Linked DNA regions of Schizosaccharomyces pombe. Changing the gene in region 1 together with any one later gene gives a genetic interaction. Each region holds a gene or a part of one and is shown in the gene's direction. Other genes may lie near its edges. The genes, in order: ste20, SPOM_SPCC622.03C, mso1 and ivn1.

Evidence for each region.
Region 2: mutations in ste20 (region 1) and SPOM_SPCC622.03C together harm fitness more than expected from each alone (negative genetic interaction), as found in Schizosaccharomyces pombe (one large-scale study listed by BioGRID).
Region 3: mutations in ste20 (region 1) and mso1 together harm fitness more than expected from each alone (negative genetic interaction), as found in Schizosaccharomyces pombe (one large-scale study listed by BioGRID).
Region 4: mutations in ste20 (region 1) and ivn1 together harm fitness more than expected from each alone (negative genetic interaction), as found in Schizosaccharomyces pombe (one large-scale study listed by BioGRID).

Annotation. Positions count from the first base shown.
Region 1 is NC_003423.3:2,473,830-2,480,972, forward strand, and holds ste20 (target of rapamycin complex 2 subunit ste20), read left to right. Parts: upstream 1-2,049; 5' UTR 2,050-2,309; coding exon 2,310-6,239; 3' UTR 6,240-6,633; downstream 6,634-7,143. Other genes in the region: SPOM_SPBC12C2.03C (methionine synthase reductase), read left to right, coding at 1-1,516; SPOM_SPBC12C2.01C (uncharacterized protein), read left to right, coding at 7,102-7,143. UniProt on the Schizosaccharomyces pombe protein: Component of TORC2, which regulates multiple cellular processes to control cell growth in response to environmental signals. TORC2 is required for cell survival under various stress conditions.
Region 2 is NC_003421.2:1,404,331-1,408,107, reverse strand, and holds SPOM_SPCC622.03C (uncharacterized protein), read left to right. Parts: upstream 1-1,740; coding exon 1,741-2,139; 3' UTR 2,140-2,648; coding exon of another isoform or gene 2,649-3,032; 3' UTR 3,033-3,241; downstream 3,242-3,777. Other genes in the region: SPOM_SPCC622.04 (uncharacterized protein), read right to left, coding at 1,009-1,431; SPOM_SPCC622.02 (uncharacterized protein), read right to left, coding at 2,649-3,032; SPOM_SPCC622.01C (uncharacterized protein), read left to right, coding at 3,353-3,777.
Region 3 is NC_003424.3:279,864-283,304, forward strand, and holds mso1 (exocytic docking protein Mso1), read left to right. Parts: upstream 1-1,957; 5' UTR 1,958-2,085; coding exon 2,086-2,541; 3' UTR 2,542-2,882; downstream 2,883-3,441. Other genes in the region: lsh1 (protein Lhs1), read right to left, coding at 1-1,282.
Region 4 is NC_003423.3:1,495,365-1,499,149, reverse strand, and holds ivn1 (aminophospholipid translocase regulatory protein Ivn1), read left to right. Parts: upstream 1-1,594; 5' UTR 1,595-1,658; coding exon 1,659-1,711; exon of another isoform or gene 1,712-1,769; coding exon 1,770-1,908; exon of another isoform or gene 1,909-2,053; intron 2,054-2,130; coding exon 2,131-3,054; 3' UTR 3,055-3,226; downstream 3,227-3,785. Other genes in the region: protein wwm1, read right to left, coding at 1-349; sws1 (SWIM domain-containing Srs2-interacting protein 1), read right to left, coding at 3,369-3,785. UniProt on the Schizosaccharomyces pombe protein: Accessory component of a P4-ATPase flippase complex which catalyzes the hydrolysis of ATP coupled to the transport of aminophospholipids from the lumenal to the cytosolic leaflet of membranes and ensures the maintenance of asymmetric distribution of phospholipids.

The DNA of each region.
Region 1 (7,143 bases):
ATTAAACCCTACCTTCCAGGCTTTGAACATGGATCTAGGTCTTCTACATGAAAATATTACTCTTGACAGAATTCCCAAAGTTCCCGAGAATCATGTCTCTTTGATTGATATCGATGAGGCTCGTGCCAAAGAAGACCCCAACTTTCAAATTCATTCAACTCCTTCTAGAATGCCTCCTCACTATGTTCAACCACACCCTCCGTTCAGTGTCTTTCCCGCCCCTATACTAGACGTTCGTGAGCTCACTAAACCAGGTGCTGTCAAACGTGTGTTCCATTTTGAACTAGACGTTTCCAACTATCCCCTTCCTGAAGGCGAAGAGTGGATGGTTGGAGGGTCGTTTGGTGTAATGGCTCCCAACAACGAAGAGGATGTGGATGAGCTTTTACAATTACTTCATATCAATCCCGACCAGGCAGATGCCCCTGTCCTTTTAAAAACCGATGGAGGTCGTTGGCCCACCATCTGGGCAGAAGACACACCTAGAGAACTCGTTACAACCAGGCGTGAGCTTCTTAAATGGACCGTGGAGTTTATGTCTGTCGCCCCAAAAAAGCAGCTTATTCGGTTACTTGCCGAATACGCCAAGGATGATACCGAGCGGCAAGTTTTGTTGTTTTTGGTCAGTCGTTTGGGACAACGTGCTTTCTGTGATTTAAGGGACCACAACGTTACACTTATCACTCTGCTAAAGGCTTTCCCTAGTGTTCAACTTCCTCTTGATCACCTTTTAACCGTGCTTCCCCAGCTTATGCCTAGATGGTATTCTTTGTCAAACGATCCCAAGGTCAGTAATAATGTATTGGAATTTGCGGTTACAGTTGTTGAAATCAATAAAGTTGAAGGAGGCACTCGTTCTGGTATTGGTTCTGGTTTTTTGAAAAGATTGGCATTGAGATTTTTAAATGGTGAACGAGATCTCGTCCTTCCAATGTACCGCGGTCTGCACAAAAACGCATTTGCCACACATTTTGCTTCTGATGGCCCTATGTGCCTAATCGGTGCCGGTGTAGGTGTTGCTCCCTTTAGAGGTTTTGTGCAACGACGTCTTACAAATGCCACTTGTGCTGGTAAAGTTTGGGTTTTCCATGGATGCCGCGACCAAGAATTGGATGAGCTCTATCATGGTGAGTGGGAAAACCCGCTTCAAAAGTCTTCAGACGATGATGCATCTTCTACAGTCAGCCAACAAACCGAAACTGAAATGGATTCCTTCGAAGTTAAAAAAGACGGTACTAGTGGCCCCAACCATCTTGTTGTTGAATCACGTTCTCACCAACATGCCTATGTACAGGACGAGATTCGACACCGTGGTGACATTGTATGGAGTGTTCTTAGTCATCCTCATGGGAAGGTTTATCTTTGTGGTGGTAAAAAGGGATTTTTAGATGGTGTTGAAAATGCCTTGATTGATGTTTGCGTTCAATACGGAAAAATGAGCAGGCTGGAAGCTACCCAACAACTTGCTCTTTGGCAAAGTCCACTTAACCTTAAATACATAAAGGAGATTTGGTAAATGAATGAAGTTGTTTATCCACGTTACCAATATTTATTTTTTCGTTAAAATTTTTTTTTTGTTTACTATCTTTTCACATTATTTTCGATTCTTTTCTGTCTTTTTTATTATCGTTTCGTTTTAAAAAAATCTTTTTTGAAATGTTTCGAAAGCAATATTTGTATCTCAAAATGGCATTTTAATTCTATATTGGCTTGGGCATATCTGTTAAAACATTTTTTGTTTAGCCTTTTGTTTCCATAAATAAAAATATAAACAAATTTTAATAGTTGATTGTAGTAATATAATTTACTCATCTTATTCTCTTGCTTTGATTTATCCTTCATGTTTTCGTATACTGTTAACTAGCAATCTTGAGACTGTAAAGTAAACATTAAGGATTCGATTCTTTAGTGAACCAGTACCTAGTATCTAATTATTTATTAGCGAATTCTAAGGAAATTTGTTTTGCCCATTAATAGCGAAACATCACTCCATGTCGTACAATCGTTAACGCCGGTAACAGAACTCCGATTAAGTTCAGCCGTTGGGGTATCCATGAGCATACGAGCATAGTTCGCAAGCATTATCATTTTAGGACTCTTCACAATCTTAAGTTATTATTTAAGTGTTAATATCTTTAATTTTACTAGATTGCTTAAAAATTGAGAGTTTGACTAGCCCAGTAAGCAATCGCGTGTTGCACGCAATAAGTATTAGTACGAAAACATACTATCCCTTTATAAGGCTATTTCATGAAGGCGCTTATGGAAGGAGATAGCTTTTTTATTCCTGCTTTTAATGATCAGTGCTCATGAAACCTGTGCGAAGGGGACAAACCGATACTGCTTTGGATATAAGTTCCCATGCCAAAACTAATGGTGACTTTATCAAAAAAATGAATACCACTGATTCAAAAAGGCTCAAGTTACTTGAGGATTTGAAGGGAAAGCTCGAAGTTGAGTGCAAAATACGGGATGGCGCTGAAACGTTGCTGCAAGTCTTCGACACCAATTTTAAAAAAGAAACAAAAGAACGTAAAGAAATGTTAAAAAAGAAATGTACCGATGAGCTCGAATCATCTAAAAAAAAGATAGAGGAATTAGTTTCTAGCATTGAATCTTTCCAAGGAGAAAATGGTGAAGCAAAAACTGGCTCAACCAGTCTCACGAGGTCTGCTTCTGCGACTGTCAGTCGAAAGAGCTCATTGCAGGAAAAGTATAGTACGAGATTTTCTTACAAAGCAGGATGTAGCGATAGTTGCAGTGTTACAGTCAGTGGGACTGGTGAATTAATAGGTCCTACCAGAAATGCGCATAGCAATTTAACTCCTACCGTCATTCAAAGAATTGACTTTGAAAATGTCAACGAAAAAAATAATTCTTCTTCTGAAGATACTCAACCTAACGGAAAACGTCCTTCTAGTTTGCAATCGAATTTCTCACAATTTCCATTAAATCCTTGGCTTGATAATATATATAAGGCTTGTCTTGAAGGCAGTATGAAGGATGTAATCGATTCCTCAAATAATTTATGTGAATACTTACATGAACATTCTGATCCCGCTTATGCAAAAAACTTCTCCTTGATTACTCCGACCATACTTTCAATGCTCGAGTTGAATGTCTCTGAAGTTACGGCTTCTGTTTATAGACTACTAAGGCATTTGTTTCTTGACGCAACAGCATTCTCTTGTTGTCAAATGTTGAATTTACCTTGGATCTTGTCAAAGTCTCTACTTTCTGGTACCGATGCATATCAAATTGAACGAGAGCAAGCATTCCGACTAATCCGAACTCTTTATTTTCTTTCATCAACTGAAGGACATGAGGATTATCTTTCAGGTATTACGAGGACTATCATTTCAATTTGTGAGCATGTATCAGATGTTAGTCGTGGAATTGCTGTTGAAACTCTTATCGAGTTAATGATTATTCGACCAAAAATTTTATTTAAAGCTAATGGTTTAAGGGTTTTAATGATCTCCCTAATCGATGGAAGTATTTCTGAGAATTTAGCAGCTAGTGCTGCACTTGCATTAGTATATCTTTTGGATGATCCTGAAAGCGCTTGTTACGTAAATTTACCCTACGATATTGGCATTTTACTTTCACCTTTTACTAGTTCTTCTTCGCGAGATACATTTAATTCCTCTGAGGAACAGTCTGAACAAGCTGCAAAAGCCATGAAATCTTCCGCCAAAGTTGCCTCTGTTTTGCTTAATTCATGGTCTGGATTATTGGCTTTGTCTACCAATGATTTTCAGGCTCTTCGGTCGATTGTTGATACACTTCGGGTTCCATCCTTTGCTCCACGAAGCGATGTAATTGATCTTTTCTTTTTAATTTTCCAAGTTGAGTATTCAAGTTGGTCAGAGTCTTTTTTGGCCGGAAAACGATTAACAGTCGTTAAAAATCAGGCTGTATCTAATGATGATAACATAAACATGGTTAATATACCGGATGGTTCCAACAAAAAGTACATGTCGCTACGCCAACATTTTACAGCCGTCTTATTATTTATATTTTTGGAGCTCGGTTTGGTTGAATCTATTGTATGTATGATTAGGGCCAGCGATGACCCATCAGCCTCACGTAAAGCTACATATCTTCTAGGAGAGGTATTGAGGCTGTCTGATGAGCTACTGCCGATTCATTTAGGAGCCAAAATACAATCCTTGCCATCTTTATTTAATATGGCTTCTCAATTTACTGCCGAAGACAGGTTTGTTGCCACTTCTGTTCTTCAATCCATTGAAAGTTTGAATAGAGTTAAATTCCATTCTGCAACACAACCTTTCTCGCAGACAACCTCTCTTCTTTTTAAGGAGCAAAAAACTGATGGATCTTTTCGGGGGCAAAGACAGGTTGAGCATGTTAAATTGAAAATGGGCATGCAGATTGATGATTCACATTTTCGTAGTATGCTAGCTGAAACCAACGTGTTAGCTACAAAAAACTATCAAAAATGGCGATGGGATACACTTGTCCAAATTATGGAGGGTCCATTGCTAAGTCCGAAACGTATTGATGAAACTTTGCGAACCACAAAATTTATGAGACGGCTTTTAGCATTTTATAAACCCTTTTCCAACAGATTTTCTTCCATACAAAACACTAAACCAAATCAAAAATTTATAAAGGTTGGTTGTCTTGTTTTCAGGACTTTACTAGCCAATCCGGAAGGCGTTAAATATCTTTCTGAAAGCAAAGTGATTAAACAAATAGCAGAATCTCTTAGCCAGATAGACGGATATTCAGAACAGGTTTCTGAGCCGATTTTCTCGAACAGTAGGCTTCAGAAAACCCTCACCCACGGTTACTTTCCTATGTTAAAAGTATTGTCAAGCCAAAAGGAAGGTCATGCAATTATGGAACGATGGAGGATTTTTACTACACTTTACCATTTGACAGAATTGAGGAACAGAGACGATCTCATAATTATTTTTCTGACTAATCTTGATTATCGGCTAGAGGGGCACACACGAATTATATTTTCTAAGGCGCTTAATACCGGGCAACAGGCTGTACGCTTAACTGCAACCAAGCATCTTGCGGCTTTAATCAATTCTGAGTCTGCCAATGACAACTTAAATCACTGGGCAATTTCTCTATTGATATTTCAACTGTACGATCCTTGCTTGGAAGTATGTAAAACAGCAGTGAAGGTGTTGAATGAAGTTTGTGCTCGAAATGAAAACTTGCTGGCTCAAGTTGTTCAGCTTCAACCTTCATTGGCCCATTTGGGTGAAATTGGCTCACCTTTACTTTTACGTTTTCTTGCTACAACTGTCGGATTTCATTACCTTTCTGAAATTAATTTTATTGAACATGAACTCGATAATTGGTACCATCATCGAAATATAGATTACGTGGATTTATTGGAGCAAAATTTTTTCCTTTCTTTTGTTTCAAATCTCAAAATTATTGACAAGAAAAACAATGAACCAGATGAAAATATACTTCCCCTACACTTTTATGGCGAATTAGTCAAATCTCCACAAGGTTGTGAGGTTCTCGAGTCTTCTGGGCATTTTGAATCTTTTATGGGTACCTTGGTGGAATTTTACGATAAACCGTTAGGAAATGAAGCCATCAGGCAGTTAAAGAGTGCTCTTTGGGCTATAGGAAACATTGGAAAAACCGATCAGGGTATTACGTTTTTAATTAACCATGATACGATACCGTTGATTGTCAAATATGCCGAAAATTCATTGATTCCTACTGTTCGAGGAACTGCTTATTTTGTATTAGGCTTGATTTCCAGGACTTCTAAAGGCGTTGAGATACTCGAATCACTGCATTGGTATAGCCTTATGTCTTTAATGGGCACTTCACAAGGAATTTGCATTCCGAGACATGCTGGACAAGTATTATCAACTCCAAGGAGAAATGTTGAGTTTGTAAATGAGCGCGTGCCAACTCCTGAGTTTTCTTCATTACTTAGCTCTTTAACTAACTCAGAGAGAGAGGTAATTAGGCTCGTTTCCAATTTGTCAAACCATGTTTTAACAAACGAGTCAGCACGGCAACTAACAAAGATTCGTTCGAAAAATGCTAAAGTTTTCTCCTCTAAACGTTTGGTGAAAGCTTGTATGACCATTCTGGGAAAATTCCATTACCGTGTTCAGATTCAACAATTTGTATTTGAATTATTTCCTTACTCGGTTTTATTGTCTTCCTCAACCTCACAGGACTTAAATGAATCCCCGTCCAGGCCGAATAATTTGTCAATTTCCGCATGAACTCCAAATTTCCGAACCTTCACTTTTCTAAAATTTTTGTAAATTAATGATTTTTATGATTTCTTATTATCGTTTTTCTTCTGTTATTCAATAAGTTTGATCTTTAGTTTTCTGCTTATTCTTTGACCTTCCCTCTTTGTTTCTTTTCATAAGTTTATTTACTAAGTTAGACTAGTGTTTACATAAAAGGTGATTGCGCTAGGGTTAGTAATGAGTTTATAATTGTTTTTGGATGTTTAAATTATTAATCTAATATTTATAAGACATGTCTGATACTTGCGGATATTTTTTTGAATTTGTGTAGTTTAGGTAGGCCTGCTTAGCCCCTGGCCTCCATACGATAGTAATATGAACAAGAATATATTGCCTTTCATCTTTTCGTGCTAATTTTTACTTTGTACGCTGTTATTATCAATATAAAAATTGCGTACCACAAAGGTGTACTTATATGTAATACCCATGCTTAGCAAGTTATGCTCAACTTCCACATACAACGTATGCAACGAACGGCAGCCTCATGTTATAGTAAATTAGCAAATCCTATATAACTAAACGAAAGTGTATTTGCTTAACATATCGTGGAGTTTGGGCATATTTCTGCTCACAAGTAAATCTCATACAACATCGCATTTGGTTTTAATTTGTTTTGGTTGTTCGCAAGGAAGAAGATTATTCTTTAAAAAAAAGGAAATAAATTTATAAATATAATTTGAAAAAAAATATATATATATATATTTGGGTTTTTACACTCTTTTGACTACATAACTCGATAGGTTTTCGGATTTGTTTAATAGACAAAAGAAGGAAGTACGTTTAAGGGTTTATTTCTATGGAACATTATTGATTTTTTTTTTTTCTTGCTATGTACAATGTGACATACAGGTTACTTCGTCTAAGCTTGATT
Region 2 (3,777 bases), on another chromosome or scaffold:
CAAGAAAAATAGAACGTTCAAAGACCAAGTAAAAATATTGGCAAAAATTGTGAACGCGGTTTATAGATTAACTCCTTCATTTCGACTCAACGTTCAATGCCTCTATCAATTAAAACGAATACAAATGAATACTTAAACAAGTTTAGCAAGAAATGGAAGCTATTTAAAAAAATGTCCAGCAAAATTCAAAAAATAAAACAGTAAAAAGTGAGGTTTGTGGAAAGAAAAGTCCGTAAATGTAACTCTTAACTAAATTGTGAAACCCCTGGTCTGGTTTAAATATTTAAATCATCAACCACAGAGAAAGATTTTCCTATTATTCGACTTGAATTGATAGCAATATTTCAATCTGATAACTGAATTGATTTTCAGACATTAGAAGAACTTTGTTGACGTGGCTATTTTGCTTGTATCATATATGATGAGTCCAAGTGAATCCATTAAACTGTACGAATTCCAGTCGCTGCATTGAGGTACTGCGTACGAAAAACTGATTGAGAAAAAATCAGATGAAATTTCAAAGGGACATCACGAAAACTATTTATGGTTTGGATTTCTTCCTGGACTATGCTACGTGGATTTCCGCTTACTCATTATGATAGCAATTATGTCTGATGGCTTTAAGTCTCTTAAAACCGTGAAAGTAGATGTGTCAGATTTAACAGTAGATTTCATTCTCAGTTGTTAGCTTGCTATTCTATAATTCTCGAAAGCTCAAATTGAGATTCGACGAGGAGAAGTTGAGGAGTTTCAAAGGGATCTTGAACAAGAGAATAACTTTTCTTCTGATTACATTCAAATGAGTGACATTACACCTGTATACTAATAATTTGAGAATACATTCAATATGGTAGTTCAAAATGGAAAAATAAATAAAATACAAATTCTTTAATTTCTTTTGTTTTAAAGAAAAAAAATTGTCACACCAAGGAAGAATATAAATAATAAACCTATAAACATAACACAAAACAAAAACAAGGTCGATGCAAATGCCAAATGGATACAAAATTAACTAGATTCAAGAATTGTTAAGCCCTCTCGCGTATTTTTTTCTTTTTCTAGTTCAACTGCAGAGGATGAGGCGTACTCTAAAGGTTCATTAGATTGACTTTTAAGGAAATCCTGATTCTTTGACTCTTGCTTCTTTCGATAGTCAGGTTCAGCTTCCGGCTTAGGAATACTATTCAAATAATGAAATCCCATAAAACTTACAAGAAGAATTATTAAAGTCAAGAAAAAATAGACGAATAATAATGAATGACTAAATCCCTCAAAATAATACTTAACATCAACAACACAATTGGCAAAAATTATGAAAAGGAAAACGTACAAGAGCCATTGAGTTTTTTTAAACACATCGTTCGCAACATCTGAACACTCCCTATAGGTAAAATCCTCCTTGATAACTATTTCAATGTCAGGTTGTGTCATGTTGATAAATATAACACAAAATTTAGCAGATATTGGCCAGAAAATGAAAATGCTTTTGCATAAGAAGAATAAATATTTATCAAATAATACAGAATATTTAGGTCGGGATTGTGTAGGCAGAGAAATTGAATATATTGGTTGAATATCAAAATCGTTAAACCTCTGGTCTTGCGCTCCAATTACTCATTAACAACGATTGTCGAAATCCTTTGACTTTTAAGCATTTTATTTCATATTAATATTTTTTCGCAATTTTTCTTGTTTTTAAACGGATTTGTTCAAACTAGCTGTTTTGCCTCCCACAAAAATATGAATCCAAAGAAATCCATTCAACTATGGGAACTCCAGTCGTTACTTAAAGGTGCCACATACAAAAAACTAATTGAAAAGAAAACGTATGAAGCCGGTAAGGAACGAGCTGATAATTATGACTTTTTGTTTATGTCTTTTATCTCCTTCATCGTGTCTTGCCGTCTTTTCATTCTTGTGTTTACTTTCATCTTTAAAGGTTTTCCATCAGCTATTCAAGTAATTGCTATGATCGATGCTGTCGTAAATGCTTTACTCATACTCATAGTACTTGCGATGCTCTTTATAGGTTCTCGTAAACTGACAGTTGAAATTCGACGAGGTGAAGTTGAGGACTTTCAAGAGAATCTTAAAGCAAGAGAAGATACATTCAACTCTTCTCCATATCAGAGGTATTAATAACACCTTCATATATCGCTTTTGGGCACCTATTCCTTTACGCCTGTTTCACTTTGTTATAAAATATTTCGTTTCCATTCCGCTGCCTTTAATCTTATTACTCCTTTAATATTTATTCAACATTTAAGTCACTACTAATCTAAAAATTAACTTAATAATTCAATACTATTTTTATCTAAAACGTATTCGTTTCATAAACTTGTCTCGTAATGCGAAATGGAAGTGTGTTGAATACATCGACCCTGAACGAACTCATCTTCCAAAATTTAGAGCACTGTTCGATATACTGGTTTGTACTATTCCTATATTTTCGACACCTCTTCATATTTCATTTTGAACTTCAATTCATTTAATATATCATTCACAGATTAATTAATAAAATACAAATTATCATCTATTCTACATGTCTGCCTCAAAAACTCGGCTCACAATGTCACCGATTATGGCATTCTCCTTATTATATTAGACAAGCACTTCAAAAACATAATTGAAACAAAATATACGGCCAATTAAGGTGCTTCTTGAGCGGGACTGGACATTTGTTGCATAGGAATTTGCACCAAATCCTCTGGAACGGTGACTTTAAGCGGATGTTTCGACAAGAAATAGTAAAGGATGTTTCCAACAAGCATCAACGTAGAGCACAAAATTATGGGCAACCCGTGCTCCATTGTGTCTTTCCTGGATGAAGGATGCGACATTTCTCGAATGAAAGCGATCAGGCAGTAAATGAACGCAATTCCGAGCCCAGCAAAGTTACTAATCAAAAGAGGAAGTGTGTATTGAAATTTGTTTAAAGAGGACACCCATAACTTGTGAGAAACTTCTGGGTCTGGGGAAGAATTCGGTGTATTATCAATAATTGCTTCAAGTTTCGAGATATTTGCTGCCATCGTGAAACTGTTCAGCAGAAAGAAAAGAATCAAAACAGATGTCCAAGAATAGAAAAAAAGAAAAGAAAATCAAACTGTGAATGTCGCTCCTTCAGCGCTTTCCAACACCGGATTTCTTGCTTCGGGTAGGTAGGGTTCAAGGACATTTTCCACATTTGGGCTAACCGCAGTATCCTCCCTCTTTACTCAGTGTAGCAGCGGGTATAGTGAAAACCACATCGGAATGACGTTGTTGTAATAAAAAATACCTGAAAACTTTACTTTGACTTTTTGAAACGTACTTATTCCTAATTCCTTCCTGTAAATTCACTTTTCCTACGATGACTGTGGATAATGTATTCATCCATGCCGTCCCTCGCGAGCAAATTCGACGACGTTACTCTTACTTCGAAGCATTTGAAAAGAATTGTCATATACAAGGAATTCTTTCAAAACGAGCTCTTTACATGCTAATCCCATGCTTCATGGAGTTTGCGGTTGGCTCCATCGTTTATAGTTTTGGTGTGCCGGGATGGGTGTTGGGAATGAATACTGTGTTGGCGGCTGGATTCCTTGTGATGTTCCTGTTCCTTGTGTGGCCGTGTTTTCAACTTGTAGATGAAAGACAAATTGAGGAACCGGGAGAAGATGAAATGGCGCTCAATGCCGGTGGTTATTATCCTTATGCCGAAGAGGTACCTCCTCCCAGTTATCCATCGCTCGAAGAGGAGAACGAAGGAAACGAAGAAATAGAAGAAAGTGAAGA
Region 3 (3,441 bases), on another chromosome or scaffold:
TATCTTGAACAATTAAAGGCTTTACACGGAAGCTTTTAGTTAAAGAAGCACCATAGAATGCAGCTCCTTTCACAGACGCTTCGTCAGCATTCACGTTCTTTGATATTTTATCAGAAGAAACATAATCAGCAAGAGTAGATTGGATAAATGGAATACGAGAGGCTCCTCCAAACAAGATAATAGAGTTAATTTCGGAAAATGTGAGATTTGCTTTTTTAAGTGCTTTATTAATAGGCTCTACAGCTGCATCTTCCATATCCTTACAAAGCGATTCTAAGACTGATCGAGTTATTTTCAGTCGAAAATCGATACCGTCAGCTAACTCTTCAATAGAAGCAATGGCCTCTGAATTAGCAGATAATATATGCTTAACGCGCAATGCTTCTTTCTCAAGGCGTGCTAGAGCACGATGATTGTGAGATAAATCTATGCCATGTTTCTGATAAAATGAATTTTTCATAAAACCAATCAGCTTTCTATTGATTTCATTCCCAGAAAGCTTCAACGTAAATCCACTTGCCAAAGCACGAATACGTGTGATGTTTTGCTTTTTACCTAGTGAAGATCCCTCTACCGTATCAAAAGATATTACCGTTGCTGAAGTGGAGCCAGAGCCTGAGTCGTAAATGATGTTGTAAGTGGGATCAGTCGAAAAACTACGAGAGAGTGAATACTCTATGGCAACAGCCACATTATCATCAATGAGGGCCAAAACATGTTTGTTGAGAATACGTGCCGCTTCAAGAAGAATTGAGCGTTGAAGTTCATTGAAATGAGGTGGAACAGTCAACACCAAATCAGTAATTTTTTCATGTGCCATTTCTTCAGCCAGTGATATATAATGTTCCATGGTCATGGCAATAATTTCTTCCAAAGAGTAATTTTCCTCGTCAGAGATTACAAAGGATATACCAGAAGTAGTTTCTTCATTCTCGACTAATTGAATTGCAGGATAAGAACTTTGATATTTCTGTACTAAGACAGATTCAAGACCAGCTGTATCAAGAAGCTCCTTAACATTACGAATGGAATGAGCAGGAAACCTGGTAGCCAAGTTGGAAGCATCAACACCAAAAATACGTTCATTGCCTTTAAAAGCAACGGCACTTTGTTCCTTACGTCTAGTGTCTTTCGTCAATACAATTTCAAGAGGAATTCCAGGCTTAATGAGGGCCGCTTTAGTCCATTCTGTGCCGTAATCAATTGCTAATACTGATGAAGCAAAAGCATGCCAAAATTGACAGGAAAAAAATAAAATAATTGTGAGCACGGAGCGCTTCATCAAAATTCCGAAAAGTTTTCAAAATCAACGATATAGCGAAGACAGCCCTTTCTTGGAGGTAGATAGATTACACAGTGGGGTGTTGTTAAGCGTGAGAGTATGATGGCTCAACTCCAAAAATGCACTCAGCTTTGTGAACGCAGAACAACTAATATATACGATATCCTTATTTAGTTTTCGTAGTGAATACATATTAAGGGCGAGGCTCTTTTTCACCGACATATATTTAATTTAAAGAAATTTTTATTGTAGATACTAGTTTATGATTTTTGGAAGACTACAAGTAGTAAAATTAAAACTTACCTAACTATTTTAAAACTACATTTTCGTAGTCCATTTAGAAATTATGTATACCTTAATTAGCTACTACATAGTAAGATTGCTCAGTATTGATTTTGTTTACCAAGCTTTTCATCGTTCATTCTTTTTTTTAGCCGATTTCATGCATCATCTTCGAGAGTATCTAAATTAAATGTTTAAATCCACCCACAAATTATTTTTATTTGTAAGATATTAATCAATTGGACATTTGCAATAAAATTATCTATTTATGTGCTGATTTTACATTCGTTAAAACATATAATGTAGTTCATGGTCGTGTTATTAATCACTTTAGACAGTTTAGCGAGTTGGCGTCTTTATGAAATCCGCGTCGCCAGATATTAAGCCGTTCTTGGCATCATAATAATGGCTAAACTTTTTTATTAATTACTTTTATTGAAATTTTTTGAATTCAAATGCCAAGGTTCTTTAAAATTTAGAGATTAAGTAGTACATAAAGAAACGCGAACTCTCGATTCATCATGTGGTCAAAGTTATCGATTTCTTCAAAAATTAATCGTATTCGCGACCCTGAAAGCGATAATACGATTGAAGATACTCACGTTGCTCGTGTAATGAGAAAATACTATATGGACAAAATTGGGACATTACCTGAATGGCTTCGTCCTCCTGGATGGCAGCCTCCAGTTAACACAGGACCTACTTCCCCAGTTAGCATAAATGCAAGTAATGCGGCTCCTTCAAATTTAAAAGCTTCATATATTCCGGCCAATCCTAGGAGGCTATCGTCCTCCACTTCCTCTGCTTCGTCTCCCCCTTTACGACGATTACCTTCTGTTCAACATAGTACCTTTGACGATTTGTTTGAAGGTGTCGGAAGTCTTCAAAAATCACCTTCCACCACGAAACCTCTTTCCTCTACACCTTCCGGCTCATTGCTACGGTCAAAATTTGATCACACTAGAAAGAAGTTTTAGTTGACACAACGATACCTTTACTTTACTCTCATTGGTATCTGTTAATGGCGTATTAATGATCAAAACGACTTTTTGTTTCTTTGAAAATGCTGTTACTACGTATGTGTTATTCTCAACCTCGTTTGTTAATAACTAAGCCCATCTTACCCAGAAGTTCGACATTTGTCAGTACAGAGGCATAATTACTTATTTTACAACTTTGAGTTAGCTCACCTTTTCTGGTTTTTCCTTTAGTAATTATTTTTGGAATGACCTGACAATAAGGTGCACTATCCTAAGCAACTCGCCTTTAGTTTGAGAACTATCATTTAGTCTAATTAAATAACCATCACATGTTCTTTATGTTTCTAACCGGATTGTAGCTTTAAAAATTAAACTGTTCAAAAAGCGCTTGGTAGAATTAAAGCTAGTAGCTGAAATCAATTCAACATTATAAAAACTTATCGTTACATACAGCGCATCGTATAGGTTTCTTTAATTTCTAACTCGAACACTTAGGGACGAATTGTGAAAATTCGTTATTGTAATTTAATATGGTATGTAAATAAAAGCACCAATGGATTCGTTCTTGTGATTCTCGTTTATTTGCAAATTTCTGGTTATATTTAGCTCAACGTGACAACAAAATATGTTACGAATGCTTTGTAAGTAAAAATGATCTTCACGAATGTATTTTCTCATTGAACAACGTTTTAAGCAACCAGAAACCGCATCCAAATGCAGACTAGACTTACAAGACGAGAATTTCGATTATCCTAAAAATAAAATTTAATACGCTATAACGCAATTTAACCATTATAATATTAGATATATCGAAGTTTCATTTCCTTTCAACTTACTTGTTCGCAAGTATACGTATTATCTTAGATCATTTAAGCCATCCCAACCCTTACTCGCTAA
Region 4 (3,785 bases), 980 kb from region 1:
GATAATAATATGGTTGTTGAGGATAACCGCCCTGAGGGGGATAAGGCTGTGGAGCGGCCCCGTATGCTCTGTTTTGGGAAGCTGCGGGAGCAGGAGCAGGAGCAGCAGAAGAAGCAGAAGCGGCAGGAGTGGCAGGAGCGGCTGAGTTGGAATAAGAAGGAGGCGGTCCACTTGGGGGAGCAGAGTGGTCCACCGAAGGAGGTGGTGGAATAGTTAAACCACGGACCGGACATTCCCATTGCGGCTTTGCTTTGGGATCACTTTCATTAACATAAAAGTAACACTTGTAGCGTTCATCCCACTGAGCGACCCAGCCATTAGGGAGACCTTCACGAGTTTGATAAGCCATAATGGAATTTAAGAAATATGTTGAGTATAAATTGAGAGAAAAGTTTGGAATGAAGGGAATATCTTAAAAAATAATTTTTTTGGTAAAAAAGACAGTTAACAAAAAATAAATGAATTCTAATACTTCTATCTGCTCTGTACGCAAGAAGTAATGGTAACAACAAATGGAAAGAGAAAGAATACTTCTAGATAGTTGGCCTTTTGCAAATGAAAAAGCAATTGATCAAATAAATGAAATTCCGCGTATGATGGTGAGATAATTATAGTGGTTAAGATCGATAAGAAGGTTGGAGAAGTTTGATGCTAGCAGCAGTCATGGAGCTATTCGTGGTGAAAGGTGCCACTAGTATGCTTAATTTCTTAAACTAATATTCAGCTATACAGTGATTCTTATAGGCAGTTTTTTTTTAAATTTGTTATCTATTACATTACATTATAACGAAACTACTTGAGCAATGTAAGTAATCAATATTCATATAGCGATACTTAGCTGTTTCTACAAATCTACAGATATTATACAGGTAATTGAAAGTCTCAAAGAAGTGAAGAAGCGGATAAGTTCATCACTCTTAAACATTACTTTGAAAACCGCCGAACAAAACTTTATAAAGCTTAGAATAAAAATTGAATCACCACGCTGGAAACCCCCTTCTAACAACATAAACTAAATCATGAAGAGCAAAATGATATGATTCTAATTTTATGGATAAAAAGGGTACGGCGGTGAATCCTGTGTCTTGTGAATGTCATTCATTATTTAAAAAAACTTTTTCTGATGATGGTGAATATTCCACTGATTTGATTTATAAAAACCTTGAATACAAGCGGGTATATTATTTGATTTCCTTTTTCACCGCATGGAAAATTGCTATTTATTTCATTAATCCATCGGCTGAAATAATCTTTTCAAGAATACTGTGTATAAACGGCTACAAAAAAATTATAATTAACATAATTAAAAATAAGAAAGGTTTTTTATTGATTCACTGCAGCTGCTATTAGCGATTTCATATACGATTATAAGCAATGAACTTAATAAGTCATTCAAAATTTCACCCAAAAAAAAAATGCTTTTAGGAAATCAATACTATACGAGTTATTTACTATGAAATAACTTTGATATCTTTTGTAATCAATGCTTTTTTCTCTGTGTTTACATATAAATTGTGTCATATAACCTGCTAACCCAAGTGACAGCGAGAGAGTAAGGTGATGATGGAGTTTTGCGCAGTCTCGCACTTTTACCAAGGACCAAGTTAATCTTGCATTCTTCATATTCGTAAGCATTGTTGAATGCCTGATTATATACTATGAGTCAAACAGAAATAGTTAAAAAACCAAAGCATAAGAGATTTAAGCGCCCGTAAGTTGTCTTGATTACATTCGTTTTTTGGCAAATTGGTTTACTGATCCGTATGTAGTGACAAATCTCGGTTTGTTCAGCAAACACTTCCTGCTTGGCAGTTTATATTCACACCATGGACAGTCTTGCCGTTATTATTCTTATTAGGCATAGTGTTTGCTCCTTTGGGAGCTGGCATGTTTGTGGCCAGTCGACGGGTAAGTCTAAGCATCACGCGTTTCCATAGAGCTATATGTTTCAAATTGATAAACTGGGTATATTTTGCAATACATTACTGTATTTTGGAAAGATATGATTATTTGCGAATAATTTTTATCTGATTATAGCCTTATCCTTTGTCGGTGTTAGCACACGTGTAGCCCGAACGTTACCGAAAATATCATTTTTTCTAGATCATTTGCTAATCAACATTTTATTAGGTCAAAGAGCTGCGAATTGACTATACTGATTGCATGAATATAGGCGATGAGTTTAAACAAGTTCCTTCCACGAATATTGAGTTCCAATATAAAAATGTAAAAAATGTAACAGCGATGTGGAAATCATCAGGCGATGTATGTACTCTTCGTTTCCAAATACCTGAGGAAATGACGAGTCCCGTGTTTGCTTTTTATCGTCTCAAAAATTTTTATCAAAACCATCGTCGATATACTGTTAGCGCCGATATGTTTCAGTTGCTAGGCGAAGCACGAACTGTTGCACAACTGAAGAGCTATGGTTTCTGCAAGCCGTTAGAAGCAAATGAGGAAGGGAAACCTTATTACCCCTGTGGCATTATCGCAAACTCGCTTTTCAACGATAGCTATTCTTCTCTTCTACGATACGAATCCTTTGATAGCTCAAATTCCCTTGGACTTTACAATATGACTACAAATGGTACTGCGTGGCCGGAAGATAGAGAAAGATACAAAAAAACTAAGTACAATGCTTCCCAAATTGTTCCACCTCCAAATTGGGCAAAAATGTTTCCCAATGGATATACTGACGACAATATTCCCGATGTTTCTACATGGGATGCCTTTCAAATTTGGATGAGAGCTGCTGCTCTTCCAACATTCAGCAAACTTGCTCTTCGAAACGTTACTACTGCACTTCAACCTGGCATTTATGAAATGAATATCACTTATAACTTTCCTGTCACAGAATATAAAGGAACGAAAACTATTATGTTTTCAACAACATCCGTTATTGGAGGAAAGAACTACTTTTTAGGAATTCTTTATTTTGTTATCGGTGGGCTCTGCGCCGCGAGCGGTGTAATCCTTAGTATTGCTTGCTTGATCAAACCTAGACGCGTAGGCGATCCAAGATATCTATCTTGGAATAGAGGAAAAAGCTCATAAACGAATTTGAGTATCTTTACCATTTATTTTTACATATACTACTTCATGAACATTTTGGAATTTACTTTCCATTTAATCACTTATGCTAGCTTCGTCTTCCACTTACAATATTCTCTTTTTTATACCAGTTCAGGGTTCATGAACTTGCATCATAACTAAAGCATAACATAATCTGAATAAGACATTTTTTTTTAATCACGTTGTATGAATATCATATCGTATTTTCTTCTTTTACATTGAGAAAGCAATTTAAACGGCCCTTACTGTTAAATATCATAGTCAAGTCACAATTAAACGAATTGGGTTAACGTTTTTTAAATTACCAGATTATGGCAAGCACGTAAAATCGAAGCAGCTAAAATATGGGAACAAATCGTAGGGTGGTGGGAAAGACATCTTCCACCCCAGGTTTCTTGCTCATTTTTGGGCATTGGCTCGTCAAAAGATCTCGAGCTATTAAAAGCATTGTAAGAGAATTGAGAGCATGAACAATACCAATACTTCAAATCAATCGTAGTTTTATTATTCGAATCCACTTCACATTCCCATCGATGTAAAACTTCACCATCGGTTAATGGTAGTGGATGAATGCTTTTAGAATCCAAAATCAGCATAGCAGGTTGCCAGTAGTTACAAAATATAAAACTTAATGACAACCACAAGCTTCCAAAATCCTGGTCTTCCAACAGTAATTTTGACAAAGAGGTGTTGGGTGACTGTTGGAGCGCTTT